2 linked regions of the Callithrix jacchus genome follow. The main gene of each other region encodes a partner of the protein of the gene in region 2 in a complex. Links are inferred from orthologs where the notes say so. Each region holds a gene or a part of one and is shown on either strand. Other genes may lie near its edges. The genes, in order: BAG6 and UBL4A.

Region 1 (3,800 bases), on a different chromosome or scaffold from region 2:
ATTTGGATTTCCTTGCCACAGGGAGAGCAGTTCTTGTCAGCTGCCTCTCCTAGCATCATTTACTTATACTGAGATATACCCTCCTCGACTCTCAATGCTAACCCTCCAACTAAGACCTCCAAACAATCCTTTCCTTCCTTTACAATGGTTGATTTTCTTCTCCCCACACTTCACTCAGGATTCCCCACCCCCTAAAGATTCCCTCCATCTCTTACTTGGGTGCATTTGTCTCTGGGGCAGGTGTTGGGCCCGCTGGGGCTGGGCCAGAAGGGGTGAGCTCTGGGTTTTGGGCTGGGGTGTGCTCTTCCACTTCTTCTGCCTCCATGGGCTCCCGAGGAGGTGCTTCACTTTCAGCTGGTTCTGATGTTTGAGAGCTCAAGGCTACTGGCTCCGGGGTCACAGTTGGTGGCTGCGGGGGTGGCTGGCTGTGCTGCGGTTGGGAACCCCCTCGACACTGAAGGTGGGGAAGAGTCAGGATACCAAAAGGCAGGATGAGACTGCTGCAGAGGATTACTCTGCAGGAGACTGAATAGAGAAAGTGTCCTAACTAGGCTCCCTGAAGGCAGGGCTCTGCAATTGTATATCTGACTTTCTAGCAACTAGCATAAGACTAACATAAATTAGATGAATAAGCATCTGTAATTTTTTTTTTTTTTTTGAGACAGAGTCTCACTCTGTCATCCAGGCTGGAATGCAGTGGCATGATTTCAGCTCACTGCAATCTCCACCTCCCAGATTCAAGCAATCCAGGACTATAAGCACATGCAACCACAACCAGCAAATTTTTGTACTTTTAGTAGAGACAGGGTTTCGCAATGTTGGCCAGACTTGTCTGGAACTCCTGACTGCAGGTTGTCCACTTGCCATGGCCTCCCAAGGTGCTGGGATTACAGGCAGAAACCACCACGCCTGCCCATAGCATCTGTAATATTTGTCAACAGATTTCTAACAAAGAGTAGAGATTGTGGTTTCCTGACCTTCACTAGTTAAGAGTGTGGAATCCTTTTTTTTTTTTTTTTCCCTGAGATGGAGTCTCACTCTCTCACCCAGGTTCAAGTGCTATGATCTCGGCTTGCTGCAACCTCTGCTCCCGAGTTTAAGCGATTCTCCTACCTCAGCCTCCCAAGTAACTGAGACCACAGGCATGCAGCACATGCCACCACACCCAGCTAATTTTTGTATTTTTAGTAGAGATGGGGTTTCACCATATTGGCCAGGCTGGTCTCACTGACCTCCGCCTGCCTTGACCTCCCAAAGTGCTGGGATTACAGGCTTGAGCCCCCACGCCAGGCCAAATGTGGAATCCTTTAATTGAAAAGAGATCCCAGCCAGGCGCGGTGGCTCATGCCTATAATCCCAGCACTTTAGGAGGCCGAGGCGGGTGGATCACAAGGTCAAGAGATCAAGACCATCCTGGTCAACAAGGTGAAACCCCGTCTCTACTAAAAATACAAAAATTAGCTGGGCATGGTGGTGCACGCCTGTAGTCCCAGCTACTCGGGAGGCTGAGGCAGGAGAATTGCTTGAACCCAGGAGGCAGGGGTTGCAGTGAGCCAAGATCGTGCCATTGCACTCCAGTCTGGGTAACAACAGCGAAACTCCGTCTGAAAAAAAAAAAGAGATCCCATGAGACAAATCTGAAACAAACTCCCCAGATACCAGGCACCAGGCACCAAGAGGACTGGTAGAAATGAGAGCAGCTCACAAAGATACGTTTTTCTGTCCAAAAGAATGAATACTGCAAAGAAGTCTAGATTACGAAGGCCAAACCCTGTGAATGTGGCCAGTTATGCCCCAACCCCCAGGCTGAGAGAAAAGGGGGAAGGTGGGGAGAGACTCTAGCCAGCCTTGCCCACTTACCTCCATCCGGGATAGTAAGGTCTGTATATCCCTGATCATGTGCTGAGCCATCACCAGCCGTACCCGGGGCTCACTCTACAATGAGAGAAGAGTGATCAGGGTAGGTTACAGATGAAGCCATGAATTCTACCACCTACTAAATCAGGTCCCAGCCATCTTTCAACCAGGTCTACCCCACCTCCCAGCCTCCTTCTCCCAGATCCCCTTCCCTGACCCTCCAAGGCCCCTCAATACCTGAATCGGGGCCTGTTCCATGTTGATGTGAACATCCACAGCAGAGCCGTCACTCTGGGGAAAGGGTAAGGGAAGTTGTTCTGGGAGAAGCCAATACTAAGGCCTCCACTCTTCCGATTCATTCCCTGGAGCCCCGCTCTCTTTTCTCCTTAAACACTGACACCAATAGCATACCACAGGGCCCCCTGAACCCAACCTAAAGATGGAAGCATCTATCTTATTAATACCCTGCTGCTACCACAACCAAAGCTACCCACAAAGACCCTCCCCTGTGGAACATAAGCTTACAGGAAGATTGAAGGTTCCAACCATGACATAGCTGTTGGCATTCCGGTCATGAACAGAGGCCCCAGGCCCCCGAGTACCAGGCGGGGGTCCCCCACCATGAGTGGCTGAGGCAGACCCCGTCCCAGAAGATGCCCCAGAAGGGAGCTGAGTCTGAGGAGGAGCCCGTTCCACCAGGTGGATAACCTTTCCCCCAACATCTGCAGAAAAATAGACACACACCAAAACATAGTATGAACAGGTAAACCCGTGGCCTCAACTCAACACTCCAGATAGCAGTCTCAACGTCTCAACTGCCTCCCCAGTCGCCTTACTATATTCCTGGAGCTTCTTATCATCTTGCAGAACTCGTCCCTGGTAAATGAGCCGTTGTTTTTCAGATGGGATGCTGACAGAGGCAGCAATGTGCTCCTTAAACTCTTTCACATTCATCTGCAAGGAAGAGAAGGTATGCACAGGAATGGAAAGAATAGAGGAAAGAGGAAGAACAGAGACGGACAACTGACAGAATCACCACCCATTTGTCTTGACTGTGAGGTAATCACCGTGCAAACCCTTAAACTGAAGTAACAGCTGTCAAAATATAGACAATAAACTTGGCTGGGTGCAGTGGCTCACACCTGTATTCCCAACACTTTGAGAAGCCAAGGTCAGGCAGATCACCTGAGGTCAGGAGTTCCAGACCAGCCTAACATGATGAAATCCTGTCTCTACTAAAAATACAAAAATAATTAGCTAGGTGTGGTAGTGGGCACCTGTAATCCCAGCTACTAGGGAGGCTGAGGCAAGAGAATCATTTTAACCAGGGAGGCAGAGGTTGCTGAGATTGTGCCATTGTACTCCAGCCCAGGCAACAGAGTGAGACTCCATCTCAAAAAATTAAATAAATAAATTTAATGAAGCTCAGGTTATATATAGGTCCATGAAAAATAACATGGATGAGAAACAAAACAAAAAAAACATCTGGACATTACATTCTCTGCCTGGCTCCCACGGGAATGTGTGTCTGAAACATCAGTGACCCCTTTCCAAACACAAAATGATACCAGGAGTTTATTTATCAGACTCTCCTATAATTCCCAAGATTAAAAAATGGCAAAGAAGATGGGGTCTGGAATCAGGTTAATGAAGAAAAACTGGCCAGGCACGATGGCTCAAGCCTGAAATCCCAGCACTTTGGGAGGCCAAGGCGGGTGGATCACGAGGTCAAGAGATCGAGACTCTCCTGGTCAAATTAGTGAAACCCCGTCTCTACTAAAGATACAAAAAATTGGCCGGGCGCGGTGGCTCAAGCCTGTAATCCCAGCACTTTGGAAGGCCGAGGCGGGTGGATCACGAGGTCAACAGATTGAGACCATCCTGGTCAACATGGTGAAACCCCGTCTCTACTAAAAATTACAAAAAAATTAGCCGGGCACAGT
Region 2 (4,532 bases):
TTGGAGGGGATGTCACACTGGCCATCTCCATGACGTTCATCTCCACGGTGGCTGCCACTGGTTTCTTGCCACTGTCTTCAGCCATCTACAGCCGCCTGCTCAGTGTCCATGAAACACTCCACGTGCCCATATCCAAGATCCTGGGGACCCTGCTGTTCATTGCCATCCCCATAGCAGTGGGTGTGCTCATCAAATCCAAGCTCCCCAAGTTCTCCCAACTGCTGCTGCAGGTCATCAAGCCCTTCAGTTTTGTGCTCCTCCTGGGCGGCCTCTTCCTGGCCTATCGCATGGGGGTCTTCATCCTGGCAGGCGTCAGGCTACCCATCGTGCTGGTGGGTATCACGGTGCCCCTGGTTGGCCTGTTGGTGGGCTACTGCTTGGCCACGTGTCTGAGGCTGCCAGTGGCCCAGCGGCGGACAGTCAGCATTGAGGTAGGGGTGCAGAACAGCCTGCTGGCCTTGGCCATGCTACAGCTATCCCTCCGCCGCCTTCAGGCTGACTATGCCTCCCAGGCCCCCTTCATTGTGGCACTGAGTGGCACCTCTGAGATGCTGGCCTTGGTCATCGGCCACTTCATCTACAGCAGCCTGTTCCCAGTTCCCTGAGGCCTCTGGGTCAAGCTTTCGTCAGTCCCAGCCTCCACACTCCACCTACTGTCCCCAGAGTTCTTGTGTACCAAAGGCCTTTAGTTCTCATGCACTATGCACTCAGAAAAATCCAGGCTTATTTTTTTTACTGATTTTTTTATTCTCCAGCTTTCAGTGCCAAGGAGGCCATGCTGAGTTAGGTAGGTGGGCACTGCCCCAAAAATATATTTCAATAAAAGACAGAAGCAAGCTTGGGTCCCTTCCAATCTTTGCCCTTTGGTGCCTGGGCTTGGGGGTAGAGTGTGCTGGGTAGGTGTGGACCAGGGTGGAGGACCAGCTTGGATGACACGGTGACCCATGCACAGGCTTTCTCTATCAGCCCTCCCCAGGAATGTCCCCATTCTGGGAGAGGTGGGAGGATGAGAGCAGAGGCCTGGCTCCCCTGCCCGCTCTCAAACTCGGTGGGGTGTTTTGCAGCCAGACCAGAAAGGAGGAGGCAGAAACCCAGCGGGCAGGGGGTGGGGGCGGGCCGTCTGTGGGTTTGCAGGGCCCGGCTCCGCCAGCTGTCAGGATATGTGGGGTGGTTCAGGCCATCCGCGGGGGCGAGCGTAACTCTTGGCCCTTCCTTCTCCATGCCCCAGCTCCTACATGACGCCAACCTGACCCGACGGGTTCTAGCTCCCAAATTCCCCGCACTGTGGCTTTGGGAAGGGTCCGCCGGCTAGGGCAGTCGCTGCGCGTTTGCGAGGCGGAACCCCAGGGGGACTCCTCCTCCCGGGGCGCAATTGGGGTGGGGGGCGTGAACGGGACAGGAGGGCGGGGCCGGGAAGCGCGGGCGGCGGGCGCGCCCCTCTTGCTGCTTCCGGCGGCAGCGGGTGGATCCGGCGCGCGACCGGGGCGGCGGCGCGCGGCGGGGGGTGGTTGGGGTGCGCGCCCGCCCGAGTGGACGCCGCCGCGGCCGCCATGCAGCTGACGGTGAAGGCGCTGCAGGGCCGCGACTGCAGCCTGCAGGTAGGGTCCCGGGGCCGGGCTGCCGGGCCCGTCAGTCGCCCGCCCCTAACAGGAGGACCGCCAGGGCCGAGGGCGGGCACGGGGCGGCCGGGCCGGGGGCTGGTAGCCGAGAGAGCCGCCCTCGGTAGCGGACGCGTGGGCTTCGTCGACCGAGGGCCGCGGGCTCAATCCCTGCCTCCCACCCTCGGCGCGGCCAGGTGCCGGAGGACGAGCTGGTGTCCACGCTGAAGCAGCTGGTCTCAGAGAAGCTGAACGTCCCCGTGCGCCAGCAGCGGCTGCTCTTCAAGGGCAAGGCCCTGGCAGGTACCCAGGGAGAGGAGACGCCCAGGGAGCCCCGCAGGAAGCGGGGCCAGGGTGCTCTGGCCGCCTCGGCAGCCGTGTGACGGGTCGGGGTGCCGGCGCCCAGCGCCACTTGACTCCAGGGTAGACGACCGCATGCTGCAAAGCTGAATCCCGCAGCCCGAAGCGGCCTCGTGTCCTGGGCCACCCCCACGGCGGCAGGGAGAAACTCATCGATCTGTCTTTGGCAGATGGGAAACGACTCTCGGATTATAGCATCGGGCCCAACTCCAAGCTCAACCTAGTGGTCAAACCCCTGGAGAAGGTGCTACTAGAAGAAGGCACTGGCCGGAGACTGGCCGACTCCCCACCCCCGCAGGTCTGGCAGCTGATCTCCAAAGTCTTGGCCCGTCACTTCAGCGCGGCAGATGCCAGCAGGGTCCTGGAACAGCTACAGAGGGTGAGAAGGGCAACCCTGGACATCCTTTCTAGGCCCAGCTGCTCCCAGCCCCCCACTGCCATCCCCTGAATCTTCCTGCCTTTCTCTCCCCAGGATTACGAGAGGTCCCTGAGCCGCCTGACACTGGACGACATCGAACGATTGGCTGGCCGTTTCCTGCATCCAGAAGTGACTGAGACGATGGAGAAGGGCTTCTCCAAATAGCATTCTCAGAGCATAGGGAGGTGCCCAACGCCAGGCCACGGCTGAACATCACACAACGTGTGTTCAGTTGCAGTTGGGCTCATAATAATAGCTGGCAGGTACCTGGCTCTGGCCAGGTGCTAGGCACCACTCACAGCTTGACCTGGGTTTGCTTCCACACCCTTGGAAGAGGAGAGCCAGCACAGCGGGGGCGACGCAGGGGAGGAGCCCCAGTTGGAGTCCAGCAGCTTCTGAAAGTGCCTTGATGTGACAAGGAGGAAGGGGCTGCTTGGAGAGCTGAGCTCACTTGTCATATTTAGCCCACTGAGAATATACACTCAAGCAACTCCTTCCCAAGCCTGAAAGGGGAAGCAGTTGTCACCTGACTTCTGGCGGGTCCAGCATTAACCCTCAGCTCACTGCTGCAGGAGGCCAAGTTGCAGCCAGCCCTGGATCCCCCAGCTGCTACAGCTAGTGAGCGTTCTACAAATGGAAAAGCAGGTTGGGGCCAGGGAGTGAGAAAGTCACCCCAGCTCTGTGATATGACTTTGGGCAAGTCTCAGTGCCACTTTGGTCCCCCGCCACAGACTCTATAGGGTGAGGGCCACTTCCTGATCTGAGTCAGTGTTCTCCGCCCTTACCCCAGCCCAGGGTGGGGAGTGTTAACAGTGCTCTTCTCCCTTCTGTTCAATAAACGAACTGAAGTCAAAAGCAAAGCATGGCCAAGTGTGACCCAGAGATGGGTGTCCTGGCCTTTGGTGACACAGCTCTTCTCTGGGGCACCCTGTCTGCTTGTCTCCTCCTCCAGGAAGCATTAGGGCTGATGGGTGACTCAGAAAGGCAGTGTCAGAGCTGGGACTGGTGTAGGCATTTATCCTCATCCCCAGCATTTGCCACCATGTGGAAGACGAATACATCCCAGCCATCTGTGTGCGGGGGCTTACTTCGTATGCTCCTTATTGCCTGAGAGGAAACCTTGGGGTGCCAAGGCAGGGGCAGAAGCATGGGCTGGGTTCCAGTTCCTCCTCCACCCTGCCCTGCGCATGGGCACTAGAGGACATTGAAGTGCCTGCTCCTTGGAGGAGGCCCCCAGGGGTGGTAGAGGCTGGAAGGAAGCCACAGGCAGGAAGACACCACTCCAGCCCCTCCACCCTTGCCAAGGGAGCAGCTCAGTGTGGTCAGGGCTGCACGTGCTGGAGACCCTCCTGCCTGGGCCTTGTGGGCCAAATATTGGGTCCCCAGGCTGGAAATATGGGCAGAGGCCGAATGAGTGAAGGCTCTGAAGAGCACACAAAAGCCCCTGGCCACCCACGAGAGCTGGAAAGCCATGTATGTGGCTTCAAAGCCATATGTGGAGGGACATGCTTGTGAGCATGTGTGGCCTGCAGCTCAGGTGATACATTTACCAGGGTTCTTGTTTGGTGCCAGGAAATTAATTTTGGAAAGTGAAATAACATTAAAGGTGAACGTGAAACTTCTACTTTTATCCAAAGGAGCTATATTAGCTAGGCTGCTTCTGGTATCCAATAATTGGTTTAAAAATAAAGGCAATTTGTTGAATCAGTACAGGAAATTTCTTGACTTAATGAAAGGAAAAGTCCAGTGGTGTTGGCATTGGCAGCAGGTGAGCAATTTCACCCAGTGTCTTCCTGCCTCCCTCTGCGTTCGTATCTGCTTCATCCCAGGCCATCACCTCCAAGGATGAAAAGATGGCTGCCTGCAGCTTGCATGGAATCCCTGCCTCACTGCCAGATGCCCCAGCAAATAAACACTCTTCTCATTGGTCACAACTGGACTGTGTGTCCAATCATTTTGGCCGCGGTAGAGGGTAATTCTCCATCAGGGCTGTCTCCCTGAGCTAGGCATGGGGCCACTTCCCTGGATGGGCTGTGCAAGGGACAGAAGGCTCTGGGGGAGGGCTGGATGAATGGATGTCCTCAATTGTGGCTGCAAATGGCAGCGGTCTACTACAGGGGCCATACATGTGTCAGAAAGATCAGGGTCACCTTGGA

What was found.
Region 1: the proteins of UBL4A (region 2) and BAG6 are in contact, whole or in part, in a crystal structure (PDB 4X86), measured with the Homo sapiens proteins. The link is inferred for Callithrix jacchus from reciprocal best matches to the Homo sapiens genes UBL4A and BAG6. Residues at the interface, in NP_055050.1 of Homo sapiens: Val95, Leu98, Ile99, Val102, Leu103, Arg105, His106, Phe107, Ser108, Asp111, Arg114, Val115, Gln118, Leu119, Asp122, Tyr123, Glu124, Ser126, Leu127, Ser128, Leu130, Ile135, Leu138, Arg141, Phe142; in NP_001092004.1 of Homo sapiens: Gly1052, Pro1053, Leu1055, Leu1057, Ala1060, Val1061, Ala1064, Ala1065, Ala1067, Ala1068, Ala1070, Arg1071, Pro1072, Leu1073, Thr1074, Ser1078, Leu1079, Asp1082, Leu1083, Glu1087, Val1088, Ser1091, Tyr1092, Gln1095, Leu1096, Asp1099, Ile1100, Arg1103, Leu1104.

Annotation. Positions count from the first base shown.
Region 1 is NC_133505.1:39,148,492-39,152,291, forward strand, and holds part of BAG6 (large proline-rich protein BAG6), read right to left. Parts: intron 2,812-3,800; coding exon 2,694-2,811; intron 2,580-2,693; coding exon 2,383-2,579; intron 2,149-2,382; coding exon 2,095-2,148; intron 1,936-2,094; coding exon 1,861-1,935; intron 455-1,860; coding exon 216-454; intron 1-215. UniProt on the Homo sapiens protein: ATP-independent molecular chaperone preventing the aggregation of misfolded and hydrophobic patches-containing proteins.
Region 2 is NC_133524.1:150,279,932-150,284,463, reverse strand, and holds UBL4A (ubiquitin-like protein 4A), read left to right. Parts: upstream 1-1,527; 5' UTR 1,528-1,550; coding exon 1,551-1,598; intron 1,599-1,795; coding exon 1,796-1,901; intron 1,902-2,128; coding exon 2,129-2,337; intron 2,338-2,430; coding exon 2,431-2,541; 3' UTR 2,542-4,310; downstream 4,311-4,532. Other genes in the region: SLC10A3 (P3 protein), read left to right, coding at 1-605. UniProt on the Homo sapiens protein: As part of a cytosolic protein quality control complex, the BAG6/BAT3 complex, maintains misfolded and hydrophobic patches-containing proteins in a soluble state and participates in their proper delivery to the endoplasmic reticulum or alternatively can promote their sorting to the proteasome where they undergo degradation.